Anolis sagrei: one gene and its partners. The protein of the gene in region 1 interacts with the protein of each later gene in a pairwise test. Links are inferred from orthologs where the notes say so. Each region holds a gene or a part of one and is shown in the gene's direction. Other genes may lie near its edges.

What was found.
Region 2: the proteins of USP2 (region 1) and NEFL interact in binary tests that used the Homo sapiens proteins (3 or more experiments, as listed by UniProt). The two-hybrid records come from large-scale screens. The link is inferred for Anolis sagrei from reciprocal best matches to the Homo sapiens genes USP2 and NEFL.
Region 3: the proteins of USP2 (region 1) and DTX3 interact in binary tests that used the Homo sapiens proteins (3 or more experiments, as listed by UniProt). The link is inferred for Anolis sagrei from reciprocal best matches to the Homo sapiens genes USP2 and DTX3.

What each region holds. Positions count from the first base shown.
Region 1 is NC_090027.1:39,098,162-39,109,202, forward strand, and holds the start of USP2 (ubiquitin carboxyl-terminal hydrolase 2), read left to right. Parts: upstream 1-6,773; 5' UTR 6,774-6,963; intron 6,964-11,041. UniProt on the Homo sapiens protein: Hydrolase that deubiquitinates polyubiquitinated target proteins such as MDM2, MDM4 and CCND1. Isoform 1 and isoform 4 possess both ubiquitin-specific peptidase and isopeptidase activities.
Region 2 is NC_090027.1:5,850,446-5,860,937, reverse strand, and holds the start of NEFL (neurofilament light polypeptide), read left to right. Parts: upstream 1-5,233; 5' UTR 5,234-5,308; coding exon 5,309-6,400; intron 6,401-10,492. UniProt on the Homo sapiens protein: Neurofilaments usually contain three intermediate filament proteins: NEFL, NEFM, and NEFH which are involved in the maintenance of neuronal caliber.
Region 3 is NC_090022.1:186,265,566-186,276,214, forward strand, and holds the start of DTX3 (probable E3 ubiquitin-protein ligase DTX3), read left to right. Parts: upstream 1-6,123; 5' UTR 6,124-6,389; intron 6,390-10,649. UniProt on the Homo sapiens protein: Regulator of Notch signaling, a signaling pathway involved in cell-cell communications that regulates a broad spectrum of cell-fate determinations.

The sequences.
Region 1 (11,041 bases):
ACACCTTGAAAAACTTACAGCAATCCACTGCAGAAGCTTGCCATTTGGTAATGGGGGAATTCCAGACAGCAAACAATCAAGTGCCAGTTAACATCTCCCAAACAAAGGATGCCTCCAGGCAACAACACTGTGGACATTATTCCACAGGTATACATACACTTCACTTGCCTAATTTCCAACAGACCTCTATGCAGATACCCTCACTAATTGACTTTGCAGTTGCAAGGCTACTCAACGCTAACCAAGCTTGCAAACTGCAACATTTATACTTGCATCAAACAGACAAAGGTCTTTCTCCCCGCGTGGACATTATTCCACAGATATAGATACACTCCACTTGCCTCATTTCCAACAGACCTCTATGCAGATACCCTCACTGGTTGACTTTGCAGCTGCAAGGCTACTCAGCGCTAACCAAGCTTGCAAACTGCAACATTTATACTTGCATCAAACAGACAAAGGTTTTTCTCCCCGCGTGGACATTATTCCACAGATATAGATACACTCCACTTGCCTCATTTCCAACAGACCTCTATGCAGATACCCTCACTGGTTGACTTTGCAGCTGCAAGGCTACTCAGCGCTAACCAAGCTTGCAAACTGCAACATTTATACTTGCATCAAACAGACAAAGGTTTTTCTCCCCGCGTGGACATTATTCCACAGATATAGATACACTCCACTTGCCTCATTTCCAACAGACCTCTATGCAGATACCCTCACTGGTTGACTTTGCAGCTGCAAGGCTACTCAGCGCTAACCAAGCTTGCAAACTGCAACATTTATACTTGCATCAAACAGACAAAGGTTTTTCTCCCCGCGTGGACATTATTCCACAGATATAGATACACTCCACTTGCCTCATTTCCAACAGACCTCTATGCAGATACCCTCACTGATTGACTTTGCAGCTGCAAGGCTATTCGATGCTAACCAAACTTGCCAATTGCAACATTTACACTTGCATCAAACAGACAAGGGTTCTTTCTCCCACTGTGGACATTATTCCATAGGTATACATACACACCACTTGCCTCATTTCCAACAGACCTCTATGCAGATACCCTCACTGATTGACTTTGCAGCTGCAAGGCTACTCAATGCTAATCAAGCTTGCCAAGTGCTACATTTACACTTGCTTGAAAGGGCCCTTCCACACAGTCCTATACCCCAGAATATCAAGGCAGATAATCCACACTATCTGCTTTGAACTGGGTTACTGAAGTTCACACTGCCATATAATCCAGTTCAGTGTGGATTTTATACAGCTGTGTGGTAGGGGCTAAACAGACAAGAGTTTTTTCTCCCACTATGGATGCTCCACTTGCCTCATTTTCAACAGACCTCTGAACAAACCTCTGAGGCTGCTTGTCACAGATGCAGGCAAAACATCAAGGAAGAATGCTGCTGGAACATGGCCATACAGCCAGAAAAACTCACAGCAACCCAGCGATTCTACCCATGACAGCCTTCGATAACACCTTGCCTTAAATGTTGTTGTCCACAGTGGGAGAAAGAACCCTTGTCTGTTGTTGTTGGTGGTGTTGTTGTTGGTGTTGTTGATACATAGCAAGATTAATATTTTTGTATTTGATCGGACACTTCCCAGTAATCTATATTATCCAAAATTGTACCCATCCCATCTGAACTGTCAATATAATGTCTCTTTCTTTCACACGGCACAGTTATAGCACTTATGTGCTATATGTGACAAATGTGACAGCTCCATTCCCTAGTATCCTGGGATTTGCAGCATGAGCGCCACATAATTCTGTGCCGGAAAGTTTGGGTTCCTCACCAAACTACATGTGTAGCTTTAAAGGTAAATTAAAGGGATTGTTGGGTTGCTGTGAGTTTTCTGGACTGTCTCACCATGTTCCAGAAGCATTCTCTCCTGATGTTTCACTCCCATCTATTGCAGACATCCTCATGGTTGTGAGGTCTTTTGGAAACTAGGCAAGTGAGGTTTATATATCTGTGGAATGATGTCCAGGGTGGAAGAAAGAACTCTTGTCTGCTTGAGGCAAGTGTGAATGTTGCAATTGGCCACCTTGATTAGCATTGAATGGTTTTGCATCTTCAAAGCCTGGCTGGTTGCTGCCTGAGGGATCCATTGTTGGGAGGTGTTAGCTGGTCCTGATTGCTTCCTGACTGGATTTTCCCTGTTTTCTGAGTGTTGCTCTTTATTTACTGATCCAATTTTAGAGGTTTTTTTAATACTAGTAGCCATATATTGTTTATATTCATGGTTTCCTCCTTTCTGTTGAAATTGTCCACATGCTTCTTGCGGATTTCAGTGGCTTTGCGTCTTGAGTGTTTCTCTGACACCTTTGGCTGCTGGTATTCCTAATTGCAAGGGATGTTTTTCATTTCAATTTGGGCTTTGCGTCTAACCCAAAGTCCAGGTGGGTGACCCAGTTTCCTTCATTCCCTTTTGTCATCACAACAATATAGCCAGGTTGCGGATGCTTCCATTTTTGCAGATGGCCAAAAGAGATATGATCAGCACTTAAAGGCCATGCGATCCAATCAAGGCCGAGCAAGCTTCAATTTCGTGCTTCCTCATCCGCTCTGTGCAAACACGGGCATTTAGTGCACAGAAGATAATAATAATAATTGGTGTCATTGCCTTGTAAGTGCTTGTTAAAAACAAACAAGATTTTATCAGGTGTCCAAGATGAAAGCCAGCTGAAAAGTTCGTATTCAGCGTTCTTTAGAAATCTGCTTTCAGTTCCCTCCCTAAAGTTTCTGGTCCTTATTAATCATCTTAATTTCAAAAGTCAGGGTGCATCTACAGCAGACATGGACAAGCTTTCTAACTTGGGGGCCACATGTTAGTACTCTTTGCTAGGATGACTGGCTGCCTGGTGATGGAAGGAAGAAAGAGAAGGAGAAAGGGAAGAAAGAAAGAAAGAAAGAAAGAAAGAAAGAAAGAAAGAAAGAAAGAAAGGGTGGAAGGAGAAAAGGAGAGAGGGAAAGAGGGAGGAAAGAAGGAAGGAAAGATAAAAGGGAAGGAGGAAGGAAAAAGAAAAAGGAAGGAAGGAAGGAAAGGGTAAAGTAAAGAGAGAAAGAAGGAAAGACAAAGAAGAAGGAAAGAAGGAGAAAAAGGGCAAGAGGAAGGAGAGAGGGAAGAAAGGAAGGACGAAAATGTGAAAGGGAAAGGTGGATGGATAGAAGGAAGGAAGGAAGGAAGGAAGGAAGGAAGGAAGGAAGGAAGGGAAAGAGAGAAGGATGAAAGGATGAAAGGGTGGAAGTAGAAGGAGGGAGAATTAGGAAGGGGAGGAAAGAGGCAAGAAAGGAAAGACAAAAGGGAAGGAAGGAGAAAGAAGGGGAGAGGGAGGAAAGAAGGAAGGAAGGGGTGGAAGGAGAAAAGGAGAGCGGGAAAGAGGGAGGAAAGAAGGAAGGAAAGATAAAAGGAAGAAGGAAAAAGAAGAAGGAAGGATGGATGGATGGATGGATGGATGGAAGGATGGATGGACGGACAGAAGGGAGGGAGGGAAGGATAAAGGAAAGAGAGTAAGAAGGGAAGACAAAGGGGAAGGAAAGAAGGAGAAAGAAGGAGAGAGGGAGGGAAGAGGAAAGGAAGGAAGGACAAAAATGTGAAAGGGAAGGATGGAAGGAAGGGAAGGAAAGAGAAAAGGATGGAAGCATGAAAGGGTGGAAGGAAATAGAAGGAGGGAGAAAGAGAGAAGGGAGGGAGGAAAGAGGGCGAAATGGTGAAAGGGAAGGAGAAAGAGGGAGGAAAGGAGGAAGGGAAGAGAGAAGGAAGGATGGGATGATGAGAGAGAGGAGGGCCTGAGAAAAGAGCCCAAGGGGCCGCATCTGTCCCTTGGGCCTGGCTTTACCTATACCTGATCTACATTGTTGAATTGATGCAGTTTGACACCACTTGAATTGTCATGGCTCAATGCTTTGGGATGCTGGGAATTGGAGTTTGGCGTGGTCTTTATCCTTCTCTGCCCAAGCATATCAGTCCCTCACCAAACACCAATCTCAGGTTTCCATAACATTGAGCTATGGCAGTTACAGTTGTATTAAAATGCATTAATTCTACCATGAAGACACGCCTCTGTTAGAAACTGTGTCAAATACCATTGCCATGTGGTTTGTACTAATGTGTGCACAGATGGATAAGAGTCTCTGACAGTGCCCATCTTAAATACCCCCATGTTTGAAAAAGTTACATTTTTGGAGTAATGGAAGTTCCTTTTATTGGACTCACGATGGCTATGCTGGCTTCTGGGGTGTATAATCCAAGTCAAAGAACATTTAATCAACTACCAAGCTTGCAAACTTTGTGTTTGTTTGTTTGTTTGTTTTTAATGCAATACAACTGTTTGGTTCACTCCTGGCACGATAAATAAATAGTCCAAGTATTCTTTTCCTAAGAAAATCCCATGAAATTCATAAATCAGCCATAAGTCAACAGAGGAATTTTTTGTAGTTGATTGTGATTCTGGAGACCAGGCTTCAAATTCATGCTCTGCTGTAGAAACCTACTTGGTTTATTTATTTGTCGTGTTAGGGCAACCAGTAAATTGTATTACATTTCTAACAGAACAAAACAAGCAAACAGACAAAGAACAACATTTGCAAACTTGATAGTTGATTAAATGTCCTTTGACCAGCATCTGGCCACTTGGAGTGCCTCTGGTGTTGCCGCAAGAAGGTCCTCCATTGTGCATGTGGCAGGGCTCAGGTTTCATTGCAGCAGATGGTCAGTGGTTTGCTCCTCTCCACACTCGCAGGTTGTGGATTCCACTTTGTAGCCCCATTTCCTAAGGTTGGCTCTGCATCTCGTGGTGCCAGAGCGCAGTCCGTTCAGTGCCTTCCAAGTCGCCCAGTCCTCTGTGTGCCCAGGGGGCAGTCTCTCATTTGGTATCAGCCATTGATTGAGGTTCTGGGTTTGAGCCTGCCAATTTTGGACTCTCGCTTGCTGAAGTGTTCCAGTGAGTGTCTCTGTAGATCTTAGAAAACTATTTCTAGATTTAAGTCATTGACGTGCTGGCTGATACCCAAACAGGGGATGAGTTGGAGATGTCTCTGCCTTGGTCCTTTCACTATTGGCTGCTACTTCCCGGCGGATGTCAGGTGGTGCAATACCGGCTAAGCAGTGTAATTTCTCCAGTGGTGTAGGGCGCAGACACCCTATGATAATGCGTCATGTCTCATTAAGAGCCACATCCACTGTTTTAGTGTGGTGAGATGTGTTCCACACTGGACATGCATACTCAGCAGCAGAGTAGCATAGCGCAAAGGCAGATGTCTTCACTGTGTCTGGTTGTGATCCCCAGGTTGTGCCAGTCAGCTTGCGTATGATATTGTTTCTAGCACCCACTTTTTGCTTGATGTTCAGGTAGTGCTTCTTGTAGGTCAGAGCATGGTCCAGAATGACTCCCAGGTATCTGGGTGTGCTGCAATGCTCCAGTGGGATTCCTTCCCAGGTAATAATCCTCAGAGTTCGGGATGCTTGTCTGTTCTTAAGGTGAAAAGCACATGTCTGTGTTTTAGATGGATTAGGGATCAGTTGGTTTTCCCTGTAGTAGGCAGTAAGAGCACCTAGAGCAGTGTTTCTCAACCTGGGGGTCGGGACCCCTGAAGGGGTCACGAAGGGGTGTCAGAGGGGTCACCAAAGACCATCGGAAAGCACAGTATTTTCTGATGGTCATGGGGATTCCATGTGGGAAGTTTGAGCAAATTCTATCATTGGTGGAGTTCAGAATGTTCTTTGATTGTAATGAACTATAAATCCCAGCAACTACAACTCCCAGAAGTCAAGGTCTATTTTCCCCCAACTCCACCAGTGTTCACATTTGCACATATTGAGTATTTGTGTCAAGTTTAGTCCAGATCCACCATTGCGTGAGTCCACAGTGCTCTCTGGATATAGGTGAACTACAACTCCCAAACTCAAGGTCAATACCTACCAAACCCTTCCAGTGTTTTCCGTTAGTCATGAGAGTTCTGTATGGCAAATTAGGTTCAAATTCATCGCTGGTGCAGTTCAGAATGCTCTTTGATTATAGGTGAACTATAAATCCCAGCAACTACAACTCCCAAATGACAAAATCAATCCTTCCCCAACCCCACTAGCATTTACATGTGGGTGCATTGGGTATTTGTGCCCAGTTTGGTCCAGTGAATGAAAATACATCTTGCATATCTGATATTTACATTATGGTTTATAACAATAGTAAAATGACTATTATGAAGTAGCAACAAAAACCATGTTATGGTTGGGGGTCACCACAACATGAGGGACTGTATTAAGGGGTCACGGCATTAGGAAGGTTGAGAACCACTGACCTAGAGTTTCGGAGAGCTTCTGTTCAATCATCTCAAAGCTCCCTGCTTGAGTAGTAATGGCATGATCATCTGCATAGACTTGGTGAGTCACACTCTCTGGATGTGTCTCACCAAGGAAACCCTGTGATGGGATCACTTTAGGGTTGCCTTAAGTCCGAACAACTTGAAGGCACGCAACAGCATAATTTCTTCAAGCCATTGCAGGAAAAGAAGAGCAAACTTTTCCAAATTCTCTCCAATGTGGGTAGTTTCTCTTGACCCACTCCACACAAAACCATAAACATGCCTGGTTAGGCCTCTGACTCCGCTTCCCCTTTAAGCCACCCCGATGCTGGAATGTGAGAGAGCCCCATCCATTCCCCCGTGAGGTCAGATAAGACACTATATTTATCTGGCTTGTAACCTGAGCTGTGAATTTCTGCCTATGCTGCTGACACATGCCTTGGGAGTTCATTCTGTGCCGCAGACGTTGCCCTGCGAGGGAGAGGAGAATCCTCTGAGTCTGCAAACAAGTGAGTCCTTTTGGGCTCTTGTGAATCATTTCTATTTTCCTAATAGAAAAAGCCGCTTGCTGAGACCGAACGGAGCACCTGCCGTTGATCCGGAGCGCCATCCATATGCCACGATTCCTCCCTGGGCCTGTCGTTCGGCACACAGGTGGGTACCATCAACACTGAGGCTGAAGGGTCCATCCAGAGCTTGTCTACACTGTCAAATTAGTGCAGTTTGATACCAGTTTAACTGCAATGGGATACTAGGAGATATCGTTTAGAGAAGCACCAACCCTCTTTGGTGGAGAAGGCTAAAGATGATATGATATGAAACAACTCCCAGAATCCCAAGGGAAGTAACAAAGATAAGTGTGGTCATCCCTCTGAGCATGTGCCAAATGCTCATCCAATGCGGCCATCCATCCACAAGCATTTTTGGGATGGAGGCAAAGGTGGTTTTAGGCCAGTCTGAAGTTTTATCTCCATCCTCAATGGGATTATATTGAATAATAATAATAATAATAATAATAATAATAATAATAATATATCACACAGTCCTAGACGCTTGGGAAGTGTTCGACTTATGATTTTGCGATACGAAATCCAGCATATAGATCTCGTTTGCTGTGACATACTGTGGTGTCAGTAAAATAATAATAATAATAATAATAATAATAATAACAACAACAACAACAACAACAACAACAACAACAACAACAACATGATATGAGGATTTACTGGCACAAGTCAGTAAAGGTGGTCCCAGTGGTGATCGGCACACTGGGTGCAGTGCCTAAATACCTTGGCCTGCACTTAAACACAATCAGTGCTAATAAAATTACTATCTGCCAGCTTCAAAAGGCCACCTTACTGGGATCTGCACACATTATTTGCCGATACATGACACAGTCCTAGACACTTGGGAAGTGTCCGATGTGTGATTCAATGCAACAGCCAGCAGAGTGATCTTGTTTGCTGTGGATTCATCTTGTTGGGTTTCTAATAATAACAATAATAATAATAATAATAATAATAATAATAATAATAATAATAGAGTTGGAAGAGACCTTGTGGACCATCTAGTCCAACCCCATTCCACCAAGAAGTAGGAAAATCGCATTCAAAGCACCCCAACAGATGGCCACCCAGCCTCTGCTTAAAAGCCTCCACCACACTCCAGGGCAGAAAGTTCCACTACTGAACAGCTCTCACAGTCAGGAAGTTCTTCCTCATGTTCAGGTGGAATCCTCTCTCTTTCCTGTAGTTTGAAGCCACTGTTCCACCTCCTAGTCTTGAGGGCAGCAGAAAGGAACCTTGCTCCCTCCTCTCTATGACTTCCTCTCACATCTTGATCCCTGGCCCTCATCATGTCTTTTCTCAGCCTTCTCTTCTGCAGGCTAAACATGCCCAGCTCTTTAAACTGCTCCTCATAGGGCTTGTTCTCCAGACCCTTGATCATTTAGTCACCCTCCTCTGGACACATTCCAGCTTAGAGTCAACATTTCCCTTCAATGGTGGTGCCCAGAATTGGACAGTGTGATTCCAGGTGTGGTCTGACCAAGGCAGAATAGAGCATGGGGAGCATAACTTCCTTGGAATTTGGCACTAGGCTCCTACTGATGCAGGCCAAAATCCCACTGGCTTTTTTAGCTGCCGCATGACATTGTTGACTCATGTTTAACTTGTTGTCCATGAGGACTCCAAGATCTTTTCCACACGTCCTGCTGTCGAGCCAGGCATTGTCCCCCATTCTGTCTCTTTGCATTTCATTTTTTCTGCCTAAGTGGAGTATCTTGCATTTGTCCCTGCTGAACTTCATTTTGCTAGTTTTGCCCAATCATCTCTCTAATCTGTTACATATCTGTAATAGTAGTAGTAATAATAATAATAATAATAATAATAATAATAATAATAATATTACCTGCCTCTATTCTCCGTAACTGTCATGGCAGGAGCCCCCGGTGGCACAATGGGTTAAACCCTTGTGCCAGCAAGACTGAAGACCAACAGGTCGCAGGTTTGAATTTGGGGAGAGCATGGATGAGCTCCCTCTGTCAGCTCCAGCTCCCTATGCAGGGACATGAGAGAAGCCTCCCACAAGGATGGTAAGACATCAAAACATCCAGGTGTCCCCTGGGCAACGTCCTTGGAGACGGCCAATTCTCTCACACCAGAAGCGACTTGCAGTTTCTCAAGTTGCTCCTGACATGGAAAAAAATCCCAGATTATTTGGCAGTGAGGATTTATATAATCCAGGATGGTGAAACATCAAAACATCCGGGCATCCCCTGGGCAAAGTCCTTGCAGACAGCCAGTTCTCTCACACCAGAAGTAACTTGCAGTTTATCAAGTCGCTCCTGACATAGAAAAAAAACTGTCATGGCTTCTCCCAGAGGATTGTGGGAATTACAAAGGGTTCCATTACAGAATCAGAACCCAACACACACACATACACACACACTAACCTGAAGCAACAGTTCCCAGTTGCCTTGGGAGAATGGGGATGAGAGGTAAGCCAGTTCCTTCAACCATATGCCAAAATTCATTGCTGGCATGCTGTACTGTTCTACATGAAACCCATTTACATTTTATATAGACCTAATAGTTTTAGATCGATAGATCGATAGATCGATAGACGGATAGATAGATAGATAGATAGATAGATAGATAGATAGATAGACTCATGAAGCCACGTTTGTGTAATGTATTGTCGAAGGTTTTCATGGCTGGAATCACTGGGTTGTTGTAGGTTTTTCGGGCTATATGGCCATGTTCTAGAAGCATTCTCTCCTGACATTTCGCCTGCATCTATGGCAACCATCCTTAGAGGTTGTGAGGTCTCACAACCTCTGAAGATGCCTCACAACCTCTGATGATTCTTGCCATAGATGCAGGCGAAACATCAGGAGAGAATGCTTCTAGAACATGGCCATATAGCCCGAAAAGTCTACAACAACTCACGTTTGTATACATTGAACCATCGGAAAGCAAAGGGGCTCACATTCTCAGCTATGTGGACAATTGTGAAACATGTCAGATTTCCGGATAAGGGAGGTTCTACTTGTGGTAGGAATGTCTCCCAATTCATGGAAATCACTCAGGAGGGGAAAGAGTTACCTAACCCTTTGCCCCATTCCTATGTAACCACTCCACCGCAGCTGTTATTCCACTAAAAATAGATCCACTCCAGGAGATCCCACCATGGATCTCTCTCTCCTTGCATCGCCTGACCCCGAATATCTGGTTCAGAACAACAGGCTGAGCCAAAACATCGTGACAGAGATTGCGAAAGCACTGAAGATGTGAGCGGAGTAGTTTGAGATGGCTGGAGGATATCCAGATTTGGAGAGAAACACACAAACACGGCTCACTCCAAGCAAAGGAAAAAAGAGGACTGAAAATACCAGTAGAGTGAATGCAGTTTGGCACCACTTTAACTGCTAATTATCATTGCTGTGAAGTCATGGGAATTATAGTTTGCCTTCTCAATGAAAGAGTGCTGACTTCTCATGAAACCACAACTCTCATGATTCCATGGCATTGAGCCACGGCAGTTAAAGTGATCCAAAATTGCATTCCTTCTACAGTATCGATCTGTGTTTCTCAACCTGGGAGAAGGGACCCCTGGGGAGGTCACAAGGGGGTTTTCAAAGGGGTCATCGAAAACCATCAGAAAGCACATATTTCTGATAGTCTTAGGAACCCCTTTCGCAGAGGAAGCTGAAGATCTCTCCGCCGGTCATTTTTGGAAACAGATGGTGAATCCTCCCACCAAAAGACCTCCTCCTGCTGTGATCGTAGGTGAACTATAAATCCCAGCAACTACTACTCCCAAATGTCAAGATCTATTTTCCCCAAACTCCATCAGTGTTCACATTTGGCCATATTGAGTATTTGTGCCAAGTTTGGTCCAGAGCCATCATCATTTGAGTCCACAGTGCTTTCTGGGTGTAGGTGAACTACAATTCCAAAACTCAAGGTCAATGCCCTCCAAACCCTTCCAGTATTTTCTGCTGGTCATGGGAGTTCTTTGTGCCAAGTTTGGTTCAATTTCATCATTGATGGAGTTCAGAATGCCCTTTGATTGTAGGTGAACTATAAATCCCAGCAACTACAACTCCCAAATGTCAAGATCTATTTTCCCCAAACTCCACTATAATGGGCATAATGAGTATCCTTGCCAAGTTTGGTTCGGATCCCTCATTGTTTGAGTCCACAGTGCTCTCTGGGTGGAGGTGAACTAC
Region 2 (10,492 bases), about 33 Mb from region 1:
GCGCATGCGTGAAGATGCGTAAAGCAACTGCGGCGGAGCCGAGATGAGGGCGTGGCTAACATGGGAGCGGGATGTCCATCCAAAAAGGGGCGGGGAAAAGCATAGCTAAGGGCTCCTCCCACTTCTAGACACCGTTGAGGGAGATTCTGTGGTTCTATGTGTTGTCGAAGGCTTTCATGGCCAGAATCAGTGGGTTGTTGTGAGTTTTCCGGGCTGTCTGGCTATGTTCCAGAAGCATTCTCTCCTGACGTTTCACCCACATCTATGGCAGGCAATATTAAAGGCTGTGAGATCAGCAGTGGAACTCTCTGGCCCGGAGTGTGGTGGAGGCTCCTTCTTTGGAGGCTTTTAAAGAGAGGCTGGATGGCCATCTGTCGGGGGTGCTTTGAATGGGATTTTCCTGCTTCTTGGCAGAATGGGGTTGGACTGGATGGCCCATGAGGTCTCTTCCAACTCTGTTTCTATGTTTCATTGCTATCTCATCCAGAGTTTTATCATTTTATGTCAGGCATTTGGCCCTCCCACTGTGTTTGATTTTCCAGTATGTTATTTTGTACTGTTTATTTTACTTGATTGGTTCATTTATTTTATTGCAATATTATTTTGTTGTTTATATTTCATGTTGCTGTAATGTATTTCTGGATTTCAGGAAGGCCTTCGACAAGGTCCCCCATGACCTTCTGGCAAACAAACTAGACCAATGTGGGCTAGGCAAAACTATGGTGAGGTGGATCTGTAATTGGTTAAATGGACGAACCCAGAGGGTGATTCTCCCCAAGGCTTCCTCTTCATCCTGGAAAGAAGTGACGAGCGGAGTGCCGCAGAGTTCCGTCCTGGGCCCGGTCCTGTTCAACATCTTTATTAATGACTTAGATGAAGGGTTAGAAGGCAGGATTATCAAGTTTGAAGACGACACCAAATTGGGAGGGATAGCCAAGACTCCAGAGGACAGGAGCAGGATTCAAAACGATCTTGACAGATTAGAGAGATGATGGGCCAAAACTAACAAAATGAAGTTCAACAGTGACAAATGCAAGATACTCCACTTTGGCAGGAAAAAACAAAATGCAAAGATACAGAATGGGGGATGCCTGGCTGGAGAGCAGTATGTGTGAAAAAAATCTTGGAGTCCTCATGGACAACAAGTTAAACATGAGCCAACAATGTGATGTGGCGGCAAAAAAAGCCAATGGGATTTTGGCCTGCATCAATAGGAGCAGAGTGTCTAGATCTAGGGAAGTCATGCTACCCCTCTATTCCGCTCTGGTTAGACCACACCTGGAATATTGTGTCCAATTCTGGGCACCACAATTCAAGAGAGATATTGACAAGCTGGAATGTGTCCAGAGGAGGGCGACTAAAATGATCAAGGGTCTGGAGAACAAGCCCTATGAAGAGCGGCTTAAAGAGCTGGGCATGTTTAGCCTGAAGAAGAGAAGGCTGAGAGGGGATATGATAGCCATGTATAAATATGTGAGAGGAAGCCACAGGGAGGAGGGAGCAAGCTTGTTTTCTGCTTCCCTGGAGACTAGGACGTGGAACAATGGCTTCAAACTACAAGAGAGGAGATTCCATCTGAACATGAGGAAGAACTTCCTGACTGTGAGAGCCGTTCAGCAGTGGAACTCTCTGCCCCGGAGTGTGGTGGAGGCTCCTTCTTTGGAAGCTTTTAAACAGAGGCTGGATGGCCATCTGTCAGGGGTGATTTAAATGCAATATTCCGGCTTCTTGGCAGAATGGGGTTGGACTGGATGGCCCAGGAGGTCTCTTCCAACTCTTTGATTCTATGATTCTCTGATTCTATTGCTGGGCCAAGCCTCATGTAAGCCCCCCAAGTCTCCTTTGGTAGATGGTGGCGGGCTATAAATAAAGTTTATTGTTATTATTATTTTACTGACACAAAACCACAGTACGGTCACAGCAAATGAGATCTATATGCTGGATTATATATGCTGGATTATCTGATCTCACACAATAATAATAATAATAATAATAATAATAATAATAATAATAATAACAATAATAATAATAATGTGAGAGCTGTTCAGCAGTGGAACTCTCTGCCCCGGATTATGGTGGAGGCTCCTTCTTTGGAGGATTTGAAACAGAGGCTAGATGGCTATCTGTCAGGAGTGCTTTGAATGGGATTTTCCTGCTTCTTGGAAGAATGGGGTTGGACTGGATGGCCCATGAGGTCTCCTCCAACTCTAGGATCCAGAGAGATGGTCAGCAATGTGAGAGCTGTTCAGCAATGGAACTCTCTGCCCCAGAGTGTGGTGGAGGCTCCTTCTTTGGAGGCTTCTAAACAGAGGCTGGATTGCCATCTGTTGGGGGTGCTTTAAATGGGATTTTCCTGTTTCTTATAGAATCATAAGAATCCTAGAGTTGGACGAGACCTCCTGGGCCATCCAGTCCAACCTCATTCTGCCAAGAAGCAGGAAAATTGCATTCAAAGCACCCCTGACAGATGGCCATCCAGCCTCTGTTTAAAAGCTTCCAAAGAAGGAGCCACCACCACACTCCAGGGCAGAGAGTTCCACTGCTGAACGGCTCTCACAGTCAGGAAGTTCTTCCTAATGTTCAGGTGGAATCTCCTTTCTTGTAGTTTGAAGCCATTGTTCCATTGCATCCTAGTCTCCAGGGCAGCAGAAAACAAGCTTGCTATCTCTTCCCTGTGGCTTCCTCTCACTTATTTATACATGGCTATCAAATCTCCTCTCATCCTTCTCTTCTTCAGGCAAAACATGCCCAGCTCTGTAAGCCGCTCCTCAAAGGGCTTGTTCTCCAGACCCTTGATCAGTTGAGTCGCCCCCTTCTGAACACATTCCAGCTTGTCAATATCTCTTGGCAGAATAGGGTTGGACTGGATGGCCCATGAGGTCTCTTCCAAATCTAGGATTCTATGTGAGAGCTGTTCAGCAGTGGAACTCTCTGCCCTGGAGTGTGGTGGAGGCTCCTTCTTTGCTTTTCAACAGAGGCTGGATGGCCATCTGTCGGGATGCTTTGAATGGGATTTTCTGCTTATTGACAGAATAGGGTTGGACTGGATGCCCCATGAGGTCTCTTCCAATTCTAGGATTCTATGTGAGAGCTGTTCAGCAGTGGAATTCTCTGCCCAGGAGTGTAGTGAAGGCTCCTTCTTTGAAGGCTTTTCAACAGAGTTTGGATGGCCATCTGTTGAAGGTGGTTTGAATGGGATTTTTGGGTTTTTTTGGCAGAATGGGGCTGGACCGGATGGTCCATGAGGTCTTATCCAACTCTAGGATTCTACGTGAGAGCTGTTCAGCAGTGGAACACTCTGCCCCGGAGTGTGGTGGGGGCTCCTTCTTTGGAGGCTTTTAAACAGAGGTTGGATGGCCATCTTTTGGGGGTGCTTTGAATGAGATTTTCCTGATTCTTGGCAGAATGGGGTTGGACTGGATGGTAGTTGTTAGAAGCAGCCAAGCTTTGAAGCTGCGAGGCCATTCAATACTAATCAAGGTGGCCAATTGCAACATTCATACTTGCCTCTTCCAGCTCTAGAATTCTATGAATCTATGACTCTAGGTCTGTGGTTCTCTTTCATAGCAGCTTTGGAGGCTTTTAAACAGAGGTTGGATGGCCATCTGTCGGGGTGTTTTGAGTGGAATTTTCCTGCTTTTTGGCAGAATGGGGTTGGAAAGGATGGTAGATTCAGCAGGCTTTGAAGCTGCAAGAACATTCAATACCAATCAAGGTGGCCAATTGCAACATTCACACTTGCCTCAACCATCTTTAGAATTTTATAATTTTTAGAACTTGCTAACTGTGAAAGCTGTTCAGCAGTGGAACTCTCTGCTCCGAAGTGTGATGGAGGCTTTTAAACAGAGGCTGGATGGCCATCTGTCAGGGTGCTTTGAATAGGATTTTTGTTCTAATTGGCAGAATGGGGTTGGACTGGATGGCCCACGAAGTCTCTTCCAACTCTAGGATTCTATGTGAGAGCTATTCAGCAGTGGAACTCTCTGCCCCGGAGTGTGGTGGAGGCTTTTCAACAGAGGCTGGATGGGCATCTGTTGGGGGTGCTTTGAATGGGATTTTTGTTTTAATTGGCAGAATGGGTTTGGACTGGATGGCCCATGAATTCTCTTCCAACTCTAGGATTCTATGTGAGAGCTGTTCAGCAGTGGAACTCTCCTCCCCGGCGTGTGGTGGAGGCTCCTTGTTTGAAGGCTTTTCAACAGAGGATGGATGACCATATGTTGGGGGTGCTTTGAATGGGATTTTTGTTCTAATTGGCAGAATGGGGTTGGACTGGATGGCCCATGAGGTCTCTTCCAACTCTAGGATGGATGACCATCTATTGAGGGTGCTTTGAATGGGATTTTCCTGCTTCATGGCAGAATGTTCTATGTGAGAGCTGTTCAGCAGTGGAACTCTCTGCCCCTGAGTGTGGTGGAGGCTTTGAAACAGAGGCTGGGTGGCCATCTGTTGGGCAGAATGGGTTCTATGTGAGAGCTGTTCAGCAGTGGAACTCTCTGCCCCTGAGTGCGGTGGAGGCTTTGAAACAGAGGCTGGGTGGCCATCTGTCGGGCAGAATGGGTTCTATGTGAGAGCTGTTCAGCAGTGGAACTCTCTGCCCTGGAGTGTGGTGGAGGCTCCTTCTTTGAAGGCTTTTCAACAGAGTTTGGATGGCCATCTGTTGAGGGTGCTTTGAATTGGATTTTTTGTTCTAATTGGCAGAATGGGGTTGGACTGGATGGCCCACGAGGTCTCTTCCAACTCTAGGATGGATGACCATCTGTTGGGGGTGCTTTGAATGGGATTTTCCTGCTTCTTGGCAGAATAGGGTTGGACTGGATGGCCCATGAGGTCTCTTCCAACTCTAGGATTCTATGTGAGAGCCGTTCAGCAGTGGAACTCTCTGCCCCGGTGTGTCGTGGAGCCTCTTTCTTTGAAGGCTTTTCAACAGAGGATGGATGGGGGTGCTGTTGGGGGTGCTTTGAACGGGAGTTTCCTGCTTCTTGGCAGAATGGTGTTGGAGTGGATGGTAGCTGTTAGAAGCAGCCAGGCTTCGAAGCTGCAAGACCATTCAATACTAATTGCAACATTCACCTTTGCCTCAACCAACTCTAGCATTCTATGAATCCGACTCTAGGTCTGTGGTTCTCTTCCACAGCAGTAAAGGGGGTGTGGCTTAACGCGGGCAGAGAGGGGCGTGGCGAGAGGAGTCCCCGCCCACTTTGTTGGGTATAAATAGGAGCGGAGTGCGGCGCTCTTCCGCAGAAGGTTGTCTCTTCCTCTGCTGCTCCTTCTCCTTCTCCTCTCTGAGGCAAACTCGGGCAAGACGATGAGCTCGTTCGGCTACGAGACGTACTTCCCGGCCTACAAGCGCCGCTTCGCCGACGGCGGGGTGTCCTCCTCGTCGTCGTCGCGGGTGCGGGGCTTGGGCGCAGGGCTGGGCTACGGGGCGTCCTCCCGCTCGACCTACTCGAGCCTGTCCGCGCCGCTGTCGTCGGTGTCGGTGCGGCGGAGCTACGCGGCGTCGTCGTCGGCCTCGTCGTCGTTCTCGGCGGCGCTGGCGGCGGAGAGCCTGGACCTGACGCAGGTGGCGGCGCTGAGCAACGACCTGAAGGCCATCCGGAGCCAGGAGAAGGCGCAGCTGCAGGACCTGAACGACCGCTTCGCCTGCTTCATCGAGCGCGTCCACGAGCTGGAGCAGCAGAACAAGGCGCTGGAGGCGGAGCTGCTGGGCTTGCGGCAGAGGCACGCCGAGCCCTCCCGCTTCCGCGCCCTCTACGAGCAGGAGATCCGCGAGCTGCGCCTCGCCGCCGAGGAGGCCGGCCACGAGCGAGCCGCGCTGCAAGGGGAGCGCGAAGGCTTGGAGGAGACGCTGCGGGCGCTGGCCGGGCGCGTCGAGGAGGAGGCCGCCGCCCGAGAGGAAGCCGAAGCCCGCCTCTTGGAAGCCCGCAAGGCCGCCGACGAAGCCGCGCTGGGCCGCGCCGAGCTGGAGAAGCGCGTCGACTCGCTCCTCGACGAGCTGGCCTTCCTCAAGAAGGTGCACGAGGAGGAGCTGGCCGAGCTGCAAGCCCAGGTGGCCCAGCAAGGCGCCCAGCTCTCCGCCGAGGCCGACCTGGGCGCCAGCGCCAAGCCCGACCTCTCCGCCGCCCTCCGCGACATCCGCGCCCAGTACGAGCGCCTCGCCGCCCGCAACATGCAGAACGCCGAGGAGTGGTTCCGCAGCCGCTTCTCCGTCCTCTCCGAGAGCGCCGCCAAGAACACCGACGCCGCCCGCGCCGCCAAGGACGAGGTGGCCGAGAGCCGCCGCCTCCTCAAGGCCAAGACCCTCGAGATCGAGGCCACGCGCGGAGCCAACGAGGCCCTCGAGAAGCAGCTCCAGGAGCTCGAGGAGAAGCACAACGCAGACCTCGCCGCCCTCCAGGTGGGCACCAACGGGGGGGGGGGGGCGGATACCGGGGGAGGGGGGAGGTTGCCGCGGATACGGGGGAAGGTATCTAGATCAGGAGCTCGCACATCACCTCCCTCCAGGTGAGAACAAAGGGGGACCCGCAGATACCGGGGGAGAGATTGCCGCGGATATGGGGGAGGGTATCTAGATATGGGGGAGGGTATCTAGATACAGGGATACAGGGGAGGGTATCTAGATCAGGAGTTAGAGGAGAAACACATCGCCGCCCTCCAGGTAGGCACAAAGGGGGACCCGCGGATACCGGGGAAGGGTATCTAGATACAGGGATATGGGAGAGGGTATCTAGATCAGGACCTCGAGGAGAAGCACAATGCCGACCTCCAGGTGGGCACCAAGGGGGACCCACATACAGGGGGAGGGTAACTAGATCAGGAGTTAGAGGAGAAGCACATCACCGCCCTCCAGGTGGGCGCCAAGGGGGACCCGCAGATACCAGGGGAGGGGGAAGGTTGCTGCGGATATGGGGGAGGGTATCTAAATCAGGAGCTCGAAGAGAAGCACAATGCCGACCTCGCCGACCTCCAGGTGGGCACCAACCGGTGGGCCCGCGAATACCGGGGGAGAGGAGAAGGAAGGTTGCTGCGGATATGGGGGAGGGTATCTAGATCAGGACTTAGAGGAGAAGCACATCACCGCCCTCCAGGTGGGAACAAAGGGGGACCCACGGATACTGGGGGAGGGGGAAGGTTGCCACAGGTAAGGGGGAGGGTATCTAGATCAGGAGCTCAAGGAGAAGCACAATGCCGATCTCGAAGTGGGCACCAAGGGGGACCCGCGGATACGGGGGAGAGGGGAAGGAAGATTGCTGCGGATACGGGGGAGGGTATCTAGTTCAGGAGCTTGAGGAGAAGCATAATGCTGGCTTCGCTGCCCTCCAGGTGGGCACCAAGGGGGCCCGCGGATACCAGGGGAGAGGGGAAGGAAGGTTGCTGCGGATACGGGGGAGGGTATCTAGTTCAGGAGTTAGAGGAGAAGCACATCACCACCCTCCAGTTGGGCACCAAGGGGGCCCGCGGATACCGAGGGGGAGGGGAAGGAAGGTTGCTGCGGATACGTGGGAGGGTATCTAGTTCAGGAGTTAGAGGAGAAGCACATCACCACCCTCCAGGTGGGCACCAAGGGGGCCCGTGGATACCGAGGGGGAGGGGAAGGAAGGTTGCTGCGGATACGTGAGAGGGTATCTAGTTCAGGAGTTAGAGGAGAAGCACATCACCACCCTCCAGGTGGGCACCAAGGGGGCCCGCGGATACCAGGGGAGAGGGGAAGGAAGGTTGCTGCGGATACGGGGGAGGGTATCTAGTTCAGGAGTTAGAGGAGAAGCACATCACCACCCTCCAGGTGGGCACCAAGGGGGCCCGCGGATACCAGGGGAGAGGGGAAGGAAGGTTGCTGCGGATACGGGGGAGGGTATCTAGTTCAGGAGTTAGAGGAGAAGCACATCACCACCCTCCAGTTGGGCACCAAGGGGGCCCGCGGATACCGAGGGGGAGGGGAAGGAAGGTTGCTGCGGATACGTGGGAGGGTATCTAGTTCAGGAGTTAGAGGAGAAGCACATCACCACCCTCCAGGTGGGCACCAAGGGGGCCCGTGGATACCGAGGGGGAGGGGAAGGAAGGTTGCTGCGGATACGTGAGAGGGTATCTAGTTCAGGAGTTAGAGGAGAAGCACATCACCACCCTCCAGGTGGGCACCAAGGGGGCCCGCGGATACCAGGGGAGAGGGGAAGGAAGGTTGCTGCGGATACGGGGGAGGGTATCTAGTTCAGGAGTTAGAGGAGAAGCACATCACCACCCTCCAGGTGGGCACCAAGGGGGCCCGCGGATACCAGGGGAGAGGGGAAGGAAGGTTGCTGCGGATACGGGGGAGGGTATCTAGTTCAGGAGTTAGAGGAGAAGCACATCACCACCCTCCAGGTGGGCACCAAGGGGGCCCGCGGATACCAGGGGAGAGGGGAAGGAAGGTTGCTGCGGATACGGGGGAGGGTATCTAGTTCAGGAGTTAGAGGAGAAGCACATCACCACCCTCCAGGTGGGCACCAAGGGGGACTTGCGGATACCGAGGGGGAGGGGAAGGAAGGTTGCCGCGGATACGGGAGAGGGTATCTAGATCAGGAGCTCGAGGAGAAGCAGAACACTGGCCAACAAGCAACCATCACTCACAAAAACACTGAGAAACACAGCAGAAGAGACTTAAAAAGTCAAAAAATCCCACAAACATTACAACACATGCACAAAACCACACACACATATGCAAACACACATATACACAAATATACACGCACACACATACAAAACACATATACACAGACTGGGCCGCAGCAATACATGGCATGGCTAGTATATAAATAAAAAAATTTAATGTTCGTTTGTGGGACTAACATAACTCAAAAACCACTGGATGAATTGACACCAGATTTGGACACAAGAAACCTCTCAGGCCAATGAGTGACCATCACTCATAAAAACACTGAAAAACACAGCAGAAGAGACTTAAAAAGCCAAAAAAACCACCCACAGAATACATTACCACACATGCGCAATATATATATATATATATATATATATATACACACACACACACACACACACACACACACACACACACACAGACACTGGTGGGGGACAGAGGTTTGAAAAACCTCCAGAGAACAAGACTCCATCACAATTCACGGAAGCATATTATTGTTTCCCAGATGTCAAGATGGAATCTAGTTTCCTGCACTTCAAAACTATTTCTCTGTGTCCTACTATCTGGAGCAGAAGAAATAATACTTAGTCTGTTGGAAACTAGGCAAGTGGGGTTTTTATCTATCTATCTATCTATCTATCTATCTCTGTGGAATGTCCAGAGTGGGAAAAATAACTCTTGTCTGTTGGAGGCAAGTGTGAATGTTGCAATTGGCTAGCTTGGTTAGCACTGAATGGCCTTGCAGCTTCAAAACTTCACTGCTTTCTGCCCAGGGGATCCTTTGTTGGGAGGTGGAATGCCTCCAGGCAGGAAGCAACCAGGCTTTGAAGCTGCAAGGCCATTCAACACTAATCAAGGTGGTCAATTGCAACATTCACACTTGCCTTCGACAGACAAGAGTTCTTTCTCCCACCCTGGACCTTCACAGCAAGTCTTTGAAGCTGCAAGGCCATTCGATGCTAATCAAGGTGGCAAATTGCAACATTCACACTTGCCTCCAACAGACAAGAGTTCTTTCACCCACCCTGGACCTTTTACAGCCAGGCTTTGAAGCTGCAAGGCCATTCGATGCTAATCAAGGTGGCCAATTGCAACACTCACACTTGCCTCCAACAGACAAGAGTTCTTTCTCCCACTCTGGACATTATTCCACAGGTATATAAACCCCACTTGCCTAGTTTCCATCAGACATCACAACCTCTGAGTATGCTTGCCATAGATGTGGGTGAAACGTCAGGAGAGAATGCTTCTGGAACATGGCCATACAGCCTGGAAAACTCACAACAAGCTAGTGATTCTGGCCATGAAAGCCTTCAACAACAATTTATCTGTTTCTTGATGAATCATTGTCCATCAGCACTGATTATTCTTGGAGTTTCAGCACAATCCCATGTTTGGATTTACTTCTGCATAAATGTGCATAAAATACTATTGTTTATTGTTTATTTTTTGTTATGAGTTTTATTTTATTGTCTGTATTAATTGTTGTTTTTGCTTTATCATTGATGTATTGTGGGCTCGGCCTCATATAAGCCGCACCGAGTCCCTCGGGAGATGGTAGCGGGGTATAAATAAAGATTATTATTATTATTATTAGTAGTAGTAGTAGTATTAGTATTAATTAATTAATTTATTTACTTTACTTGTATACTGCACTCTCTCAGCCCGTAGGCGACTCAGTGCGGTTTACAGCCAGGACAATATACAGGTGCACAACATTAGCATTTAAAACAGTAACTAAATCAACTACGTCAATATAACAATACAACAGAGCATCAATATAACATCTAAACATCTATATCACTAATCCATCATGTCTCACGATATAATACTAGTAATAATAATACTATATTATAA
Region 3 (10,649 bases), on another chromosome or scaffold:
ATAGGACATACAAATAAATACATAAAAGCCAGATTATAAAATACAATACAAAATATACCATTAAAATACTATATAAAGAATTAGAATCATTAATATGCTACATAAATCAATTGCGAGATGCACCCTTAAAATACTGCATAAAATTATGTATTGGCACAGTTGGTAATTTTTAGACAGCAATTTGCTTTCGGTCACCAGGGATCTATCCCAATAGATCCCTACCTACCTTCTAACGCACCATGTACATGGGTAGCACTATAGAAATAAATGACATAACTAATCACTATATTTTTAATGGAGAAGACTAAATCCAGGAGTTTTTCCATGCCTCACTCAACTACTGTACACTTGAACCAATGCATCTGCTCTTAGGACCAATGAAAATAAAGTTTTAGTTTTAGGTGCCCTGAGGAGGAAAGAAGGTGGAGCCAATAGGCAGAGGGTTGTGTATGTATTTCATAGAATCATAGAATCAAAGAGTTGGAAGAGACCTCATGGGCCATCCAGTCCAACCCCCTGCCAAGAAGCAGGAATATTGCATTCAAATCACCCCTGACAGATGGCCATCCAGCCTCTGTTTAAAAGCTTCCAAAGAAGGAGCCTCCACCACACTCCGGGGCAGAGAGTTCCACTGCTGAACGGTCAATTTACACTGTAGAATGAGGTTTGACACCACTTTCAACGCAGTGGCTCACCCTGCTCATCATAATAGGTAAGTAAGATTGCCTTCCAAGTGAAGGGTCTTTGCGGATGAGCACGTAGAAGACCATAGAGACCTATTCTGTATCCGCATGTTCTTTCGCAGTGGGGACATCAATTTCCAGATGTAAGGCTTGACATGCCTTCCTGTTGCATGTTTATCCCTTTTGCCATCCATTTGTGCCTTTTTGAATTCCACAGCATTGTTGCTCACAATTGACCTCCAGTTAGGATGCTTGAAGGCCATGGCTTCCAAGTTCTATGTGTCTATGCCACAGTTTTAAGCTTGACTTTAAGCCCATCTTTAAATCTGTTTTCTTGTCAAGCAACATACCATTTTAGTTCTTGGGTTGGGAGTATAGTAAGTGCTTTGGTAAATGGTGATCAGGCATTCGGACAAAGTAGACAGTTCAACAGAGTTGATGGCATAGGAGCATTGCTTCAGTGCTGGTGATCTTTGCTGCTTCTTCCAGACCACTGACATTTGTCTGCCTGTCTTCCCAAGAGATTTTGCAGGATTTTTCAGAGACAACACTGGTGGAATCATTCCAGAAGTTGAGTGCGACGTCTGTAGTAGACGGTCCATGTTTTGCAGGCGTATAGCAGGGTTGGGAGGACAATAGTTTTATAAACAAGCATCTTGGTCTCCTTACAAATGTCCCAATCCTCAAACACTGCTTCATTCAGAAAAATTCTGCACTCATACAGCTCAGGCAGTGTTATATTTCAGTGTCGATGCTGACTTTTGTGGAGAGGTGGCTGCCAAGGCAGCAGAAATGGTCAACATTTTCTAACATTACAACATTAAGCTGTATTTCCAGCTCTGCAGAGGGATTGGCTGGTGCCTGCTGCACGAGTATTTTGGTTTTCTCAATGTTCAGTGAGAGATCAAGCTGTTTGAATGCTTCTGCAAAGGTGTTTAGAATGGCTAGTATGTACAATCATAGAATAATAGAATTGGAAGAGACCACATGGGCTACAAAGCCCAACCCCCTGCTAAGAAGCAGGAAAATCATGTTCAAAGCATCCCTGACAATTGGCCATCCAACCTCTGCTTAAAAGCCTCCAAAGAAGGAGCCTCCACCACACTTCAGGGCAGAGAGTTCCAATGTTGAACAGCTCTTACGGTCTGGAAGTTCCTCCTAATGTTCAGGTGGAATATCCTTTCCTGTAATTTGAACCCATTGCTCCAAGTCCTAGTTTCCAGAGCAGCAGAAAACAACCCTGCTCTCTCTACCTTATGACACCCTTTCACATATTCATACATAGCTATCATGTCTCCTCCCAATCTTTTCTTTGGCAGGCTAAAAATACCCAGTTCTTGAAGACACTCATCATAGTGATTAACTGTCTCCAGACTCCAGGTGAGTACTAACCAAAGCAGAATAGAGAGGCACCATGACTTCCCACAATCTAGATACTATACTCTTTTTGATGCAGTCCAAAATCCCATTGGCTTTTTAAGCTGCTGCATCACACTGTAGGCTCATGTTCAACTTGTTGTCCACAAAGACTCCCAAGTTCTTTCCCACATGTACTGTTGTTGAGCCAGGCATCACACATCTTGTATCTTTGCATTTCATTTTTCTGCCTAAGTGTAGTATCTTACATTTTAGTCCTTGTTGAAATTCATTATTTTAGCTCTATAATTTGTTAAAGTGAGTATGATCTGGAGTATTAGCTCTTCCTCCTAATTCAGTGTCATCTGCAAACTTGATAAGCACATCTTCTAAACCTTCTACCAAATCATTACTAAAGATGTTGAACAGAACTGGGCCCAACACTGTGGCAATCCACTTGTCACTTCTTTCCAGGATGAAGAGGAAGCATTAGTGAGCACCCTTTGGGTTCGGTTGCTTAACTATAGAATCATAGAGTTGGAAGAGACCTCCTGGGCCATCCATTCCAACCCCCTGCCAAGAAGCAGGAATATTGCATTCAAAGCACCCCTGACAGATGGCCATCCAGCCTCTGTTTAAAAGCTTCCAAAGAAGGAGCCTCCACCACACTCCAGGGCTGAGAGTTCCACTGCTGAATGGCTCTCACAGTCAGGAAGTTCTTCCTAATGTTTAGATGGAATCTCCTTTCTTGTTTGAAGCCATTGTTCCGCGTCCTAGTCTCCAGAGAAGTAGAAAACAAGCTTGCTCCCTCCTCTCTGTGACTTCCTCTCACATATTTATACATGGCTATCATATCTTCTCTCAGCCTTCTCTTCTTCAGGCTAAATATGCCCAGCTCTTTAAGCCTCTCCTCATAGGGCTTGTTCTCCAGACCCTTGATCATTTGAGTCGCCCTCCTCTGGACACATTCCAGCTTGTCAATATCTCCCTTCAATTGTGGTGCCCAGAATTGGACACAATATTCCAGGTGTGGTCTAACCAAGGCAAAACAGAGGGGTAGCATTACTTCCCTGGATCTAGACACTATACTCCTATTGATGCAGGCCAAAATCCCATTGGCTTTTTTTGCTGCCACATGTCATTGTTGGCTCATGTTTAACTTGTTGTCCACAAGGACTCCAAGATCTTTTTCACATGTACTGCTCTCGAGCCAGGCATTGTCCCCCATTCTGTATCTTTGCATTTTGTTTTTTCTGCCTAAGTGGAGTAACCAATTATACCAAGTAAACCAATTATAAATCTATGTAGTAATAGTTTTGCCTAGCGCACATTTAACTAGTTTGCTTGCAAGAAGGTCATGGGGGGCTTTGTCAAAGGCCTTACTGAAATCAAGATATGCTATTGGAGCATCATCATTACATCGGTGCCCCTTCATTTGGTGCAATGCCTGGGATATGAACCCGGGCCTCCCACATGACAGGTGAGAATTCTACCACTGAACCACCAATTCCCTGCATCTACCAAGCCGGTAACTCTATTGAAAAAAGAGAGAATACATCTAATATATATCTCCATTGATTCTATAGCACTGAGCCATGACAGTTAAAGTGATGTCAAACTATTGATTTTACAGCACAGATGCATCCTTGGCTAACTCAAACAACCTATTCAATGCTAATCAAGGTGATCAATTGCAACATTCACACTTACCTCAGGCAGACAAGAGTTCTTTCTCCCACCTTGGATATTCCACAGATATATAAACCTCACTTGCCTAATTTCCAACAGACCTCACAACCTCTGAGGATGCCTGCCATAGATGTGGGCAAAACATCAGAAGAGAAGGATTCTGGAACATGATCATACAGCCTGGAAAACTCACAGCAACCCAGGGATAGAAATTAACTAATATTAGTATTAATAATGATGATCGCCTTGAGGCAAGTGGTGCCAAACCGTGTTAATGCCACAATGTGTAGATGCTGCACCCCTGGGCATGCTTTAGTAAGGTTCTCAATCTTTCTAATGCTGCAACCCCTTAATTCAGTGCCTCATATTGTGGTGACCCCCAACCTTAAAATTATTTTTGTTGCTACTTCATAATGGTAATTTTGTCACTGTTATGAATTGTAATGTAAATATCTGATATGCAGGATGTATTTTCATTCATTGGACCAAATTTGTCATAAATACCCAATATGTCTAAATTTGAATACTGGTGGGGTTGGGGGAGAATTGATTTTGTCATTTGGGAGTTGTAGTTGCTGGGATTTATAGTTCACCTACAATCAAAGAGCATTATGAATTCCATCTATGATGGAATTGGACCAAAATTGGCACACAGGACTCCCGTGACCAACAGAAAATACTGGAAGGGATTGGTGGGCATTGGCCTTGGGTTTTGGAGTTATAGTTCACCTACATCCAGAGAGCACTATGGAGTCAAACAATGAAGGCTCCGGACCAAACTTGGCATGGATACTCAGTATGCCCAAATGTGGACACTGGTGGAGTTTCGGGAAAATTGACCTTGACATTTGGGAGTTGTAGTTGCTAGGATTTATACTTCACCTACAATCAAAGAGCATTCTGAACTCCACCAATGAGGGAAATGAACCCTCAAATTGAACCAAACTTGGCACACAGGACTCCCATGATCAACAGAAAATACTGGAAGGGTTTGGTGGGCATTGGCCTTGGGTTTTGGAGTTGTAGTTCACCTACATCCAGAGATGTAGGATCTGGACCAAACAATGATGGATCCGGACCAAAATTGGCATGGATACTCAATATGCCCAAATATGGACACTGGTGGAGTTTGGGGGAAATAGACCTTGACATTTGGGAGTTGTAGTTGCTGGGATTTATAGTTTACCTACAATCATATAGCATTCTGAATTCCATCAATGATGGAATTGGGCCAAAATTGGCACACAGGACTCCCATGACCAACAGAAAATATTGGAAGGGTTTGGTGGGCATTGGCCTTGGGTTTCAGAGTTGTAGTTCACCTACATCCAGAGAGCACCGTGGACTCAAACAATGATGGATCTGGACCAAACTTGGCATGGTTACTCAATATGCCCAAATGTGGACACTGGTGCAGTTTGGGGGAAATAGACCTTGACATTTGGGAGTCGTAGTTGCTGGGATTTATAGTTCACCTACAATCAAAGAGTATTGTGAACCCAATCAATGATATAATTGGGCCAAACTTCCCACACAGAACCCCCATGACTAACAGTAAATACTGTGTAGGCCAGGGGTCCTCAAACTAAGGCCTTGGGGCCGGATACGGCCCTCCAAGGTCATTTACCCGGCCCTCGCTCAGGGTCAACTTAAGTCTGAAACGACTTGAAAGCACACAACAACAACAACCCTATCTCATCAGCCAAAAGCAGATTCACACTTCCTATTGAAATACGAATAAGTTTATATTTGTTAAAATTGTTCATTTTAATTATTGTATTGTTTTAAATTTTTTTTGCACTACAAATAAGAGATGTGCAGCGTGCATAGGAATTCATGTTTTTTTCAAATTATAATCCAGCCCTCCAACAGTTTGAGGGACTGTGACCTGGCCCTCTGTTTAAAAAGTTTGTGCAGGCTGTGGGTTTTTCAGGCTGTATGGCCATGTTCTCTAGAAGCATTCTCTCCTGACGTTTCGCCTGCATCTGTGGCAGGCATCCTCAGAGGTTGTGAGGTCTCACAACCTCTGTGGATGCTTGCCATAGATGCAGGCGAAACGTCAGGAGAGAATGCTTCTAGAGAACATGGCCATATAGCCCGAAAAAACCTATAACAACCCAGTTGTGAGGTCTGTTGGAAACGAGGAAAATGGGTAAATACTGATGGTCTTTGGCGACCCCTCTGACAGCCCCCTGCCGTAGGAGAAGGCATCCTGGCCCCCCACCCTCTGGGCAGAGAAACCCACAGCTCTTTCCCCTCCTCTTTTCTTTCTTTCTCCTCCTCCTCCTTTCCTCCTCTTCGACGCCCGCCCACAGCCTCCTCCTGGGCCCCTCTCTCGCTCTTTGGCGAGGCTGTTGCTATGGCGACGGTCACGTGACTGCGCCTCGGCGGGGAAGGAGGAGAGAAAGAGGAAGAAAGAGGAGGAGGAGGAAGGGGAACCGGCGGCGCTAAGACCCCGGGCGGCGCGAGGCTTCCTCGGGCGCGCCAAAGGCAGAAGCAGCAGCAGCGGCAGGAGGAGGAAGAAGCAAAGCAAGCAGCAGCCAGCAGCGCCTCCTCCTCCTCCTGCTCTCCCTTTGGCAACCTTCTCCTCCTCCGGCACGTCAGCTCTTCCTCAGCCTCGATGGATGGAGCCTCCCTGCCGCCCCCAGAGGTGCCGCTATGGTGGGTTTATCTCGGGATCGTGTCGCTTCAGAGGGGGAGGAAGCGGGGGAAGCAGGAGCCGGGGGAGGAGGGGAGAATCCATCGCGAAACAAGGCACCGCCGCCGTCTGGACCTCATCAAAAACGCCTCTGCATGTGGCGCATTGCAAACAGCTGCAGCATCAGCCCTTGCCTTGTTGAGTGTTTTTTGGGGCTGGGTCTCTGCCTTGTTGTATTATTTGGGGGAACTTGCAGGTGGGGGCCCCTACCTTTTTTTTAAAGGCCCCACAACCTTTTTAAAAATGCAGCATCTCCTTTATGCCCCCCTAAAAGCATTGAAGTGGGTGCCCCCCCCCCCCCCAAAAGAGATTGATACAGTTGTGTCAATCCTGGATGGAGCTCACCTAGTGCCCACCTTTGTGAGGTTGAAGCAGGGAGTATTTCCCTCATTGACAATCTCTTATTTTGGGGAGGGGAAGCGATATAGGGTCTTACCATAGGGGGTGTATTTGGATGATTATTTTTTTGTGCATCCATAGGGGTGTTTTTTTGTTTTGCCTCCAATCAGGGTGTCAAATGGTTAAGGAGAGCAGGTCCAAATTGATGCCTCCCCTGGCCTCATTTTCCAGGGAAAGTAGTCTGCAAAATAGAGGTGTATTAGGGATGGTTTTGTTTAGGAGGTGTAAAATAAATAAATATACTAATCTAGCTTCAATTACAATCAGGTCCAAAAGGGATCGGAGTCTGGATTATTTTCCCAGGTGGAAAAATAGGGATTTATTTATATTTTTGGGAGGTGGGGGTCTCATTTTCCAAGGGATGTGGTCTAAAAGATAGAGGTGTATATTAGGGATGGTTTTGTTTAGGAGGCATAAAATAAAGAAATACACTAATCTAGCACCAATTGGGAGCTGGTCCAAAGGTATTACTTTCCCAGGTGGAAAATGAGGATTTATTTATATTTTTGGGAGGTGGTGGTCTCATTTTCCAAGGGAAGTTGTCTAAAAGATAGAGGTGTATTATGGATGGTTTTGTTTTGGAGGTGTAAAATAAAGAAATATACTAATCTAGCTCCAATTAGGAGCAGGTCCAAAGGTGATCGGAATCTATATTATTTTCCCAGGTGGAAAAATAGGGATTTATTTATATTTTTGGGAGGTGGTGGCCTTATATTCCAAGGGATGTGGTCTAAAAAATAGAAGTGTATTATGGATGGTTTTGTTTTGGAGGGTAAAATAAAGAATTATAATAATCTAGCTCCAATTACGAGCAGGACCAAAAGGCTTACTTTCCCAGGTGGAAAAATAGGGATTTATTTATATTTTTGGGAGGTGGTGGCCTTATTTTCCAAAGGATGTGGTCTAAAAAATAGAAGTGTATTATGGATAGTTTTGTTTTGGAGGCGTAAAATAAAGAAATATACTAATCTAGCACCACTTGGGAGCTGGTCCAAAGGTATTATTTTCCCAGGTGGAAAAATGGGGATTTATTTATATATTTTGGGAGGTAGTAGCCTCATTTTCCAAGGGATGTGGTCTAAAAATAGAGGTGTATTATGGATGGTTTTGTTTTGGAAGCGTAAAATAAATAAATATATTAATCTAGCACCAATTTGGAACTGGTCCAAAGGGATAGAAGTCTGGATTGTTTTCCCAGGTTGAAAAATAGAGGTCTATGTATAATTTTGGGAGGTGCTCGCCTCATTCTCTAAGGGAAGTGGTCTGAAAAATAGAGGTGTATGGATGTTGTTGTTTTTTTGTTTTGGAGGTGTAACATAAATAAATATGTCCAAAAGGATAGACCTCTGGAATGTTTGCCAAGGTGGGAAAATAGAGGTCTATGTATATATATATATATACACACACACACACACATACACACACACATATATATGGGGGGGGGGGGGAATATGGGGACAGAAGTGGCTCCAATTGGGATCAGATCCAAAAGGATGGGGCGCCGAGGCTTATTTTCCGAGCCATTGTCTTCCACCCCATTGGTGGTCCGCTTCTCTATTGTTCCCTATTTATCCTTTATTCCTTCCAAAGAAAGATGGGACTCTCTCTTGTCTTTGATAAACAAGATCTCATGCGTGGATCCGCTAGTCGTCGGAAGAGGTTACTAATAATAAAGCCTCTCCCCACCACCACCCTGAACTGGATCTCAAGGAGGGAAAGGCGTTCTTTCCTCTGCCCACTAAAATATTTTTATGTCTTTCCTTCTTCCTTTTTCCCTTCCTTTTCCCCTCCTTTTGCCATGTTTGTTTTCCTTTTTTCACCCCCTCTCCCTGACTGACAATAGACCAGGCCTGTGATCTTTTATCAGCCAGGTGAGACCCACAGAAAGGTACAGTCTCGGCCTTGCCCAAGGTCACCTGGATCAAAGGCTGTCCAGATAAAGGCAAGGCTCCTGTATCCATGCATCGCGGTTATGTGTCTACAAAGGCAAAGTAGCTTTCAGCCTGGCGCAGCTAGTCATCATTGGGGGGAGCGGGTGTTGTTTGGGAAAAACAGCATCAGAAGACATTCCCCATTCACAACTCTCACGAGTATGAATTGCATCCCCGAGATCAAATATATGGACCACCTCTGCTGGCTGGACTGCCTTGTTTGGTGTAATTCTTCTTGCAGGCTGCCATTGAGAGAGAAAAATATAAATCCATTTTTGAAGGGTTGCTCAATTCTGTAGGGTAAGTCCCTTAGCCTCCATCTTGAGAGAAAAGGCAGGAAATAAAAAGCAACCCTTTCTGATCCTTGGGTAGGGGTGCATTTTTTTCCTACATGGCAAGGCTGTGTGTTTTTCTCCTCCTACTCAAGGTCCAACAGGTCATGAAAGCTGGAGACATTGGGACTGTGTTGTTAGTTTTTGCTGCATCTTCTTTGCACGGTCGGTTGGTTGTTGTAGAGTTCTTTTTTGATGATTTCTTGTAGAGTTGGATGAAGTTTATGTGCTGAGTTCTTTGACAATGTACGTCAGGCTCACTATCAAATATAAATAACTATTTAAGCTGACTGGCTGCTTCCTCTTCTTCCTTTTCTTCTTCCACCACCTCTTTTGTAAAGTCTTCCACTCGGTGTGCATCCACACTGTAAAATGAATGCAGTTTGACACCACTTTAACTGCCATGGTTCAGTGCTGTGGAATCATTTGGTGAGGTGCCAGCACTCTTTAGCAGAGAAGACTAAGGCCCCTTCCACACCACTGAATAAAATCCCACATTTTCTGCTTTGAACTGGAATATATGGCAGTGTGGACTCAGATAACCCAGTTCAAAGCAGATATTCTGGGTTATATGGCTGTGTGGAAGGACCCCTAGAGACGTGTATCTAAAACTCCCATGATTCCATGCCATTGAGCCATGGCAATTAGGTTAACATAGCATAGAAACTGTTATAAATTCTGTAGAGTAAGATGCACTCTGACATAAGAATCGCTGTTTAGTTGGCATGTTTAATTCCCGAAGACTTAGATTAGTCTCCTCTGTAGAAATCTTGCACGATAATCTCCATAACCCAGTCCCAGGGCCCTTCCACGCAGCCCTATATCCCAGAATATCAAGGCAGAAAATCCCACCATATCAGCTTTGGGTTATCTGAAGCCACACTCAGATAATGTAGGATTTTTTACCTTGATATTCTGGGATATAGGGCCATGTGGAAGGGTCTCCAGTGGGTGTAGTGCAGCGTTTCTCAACCTGGGGGTTTGGACCCCTGGGGGGGAGGGTCATGAGAAGATGTCAGAGGGGTCACCAAAGATCATCAGAAGACACAGTATTTTCTGTTGGTCATGAGGGTTCTATGTGGGAAGTTTGGCTCAATTCTATTATTGGTGGGGTCCAGAATGCTCTTTGATTGTAGGTGAACTATAAATCCCACAACTACAACTGCCAAATGTCAAGGTCTATTTACCCCCAAACTCTACCAATGTTCACATTTCGGCACATTGAGTATCTGTGCCAAGTTTGATCCAGATCCATCATTGTTTGAGTCCACAGTGCTCTCTGGATGAAGGTGAACTACAACTCTCAAACTCAAGATCAATGCCCACCAAACCCTTCTAGTATTTTCTCTTGGTCATGGGAGTTCTGTGTGCCAAGTTTGGTTCAATTCCCTCATTTGTGGAGTTCGGAATGCTCTTTGATTGTAGGTTAACTATAAATCCCAGCAACTACAACTCCCAAATGACAAAATCAATTATCCCTTCCCCCCAACCCCACCAGTATTCAAAATTGAGCATATTGCATATTTGTATCAAATACATGCTACATATCAGATATATATGA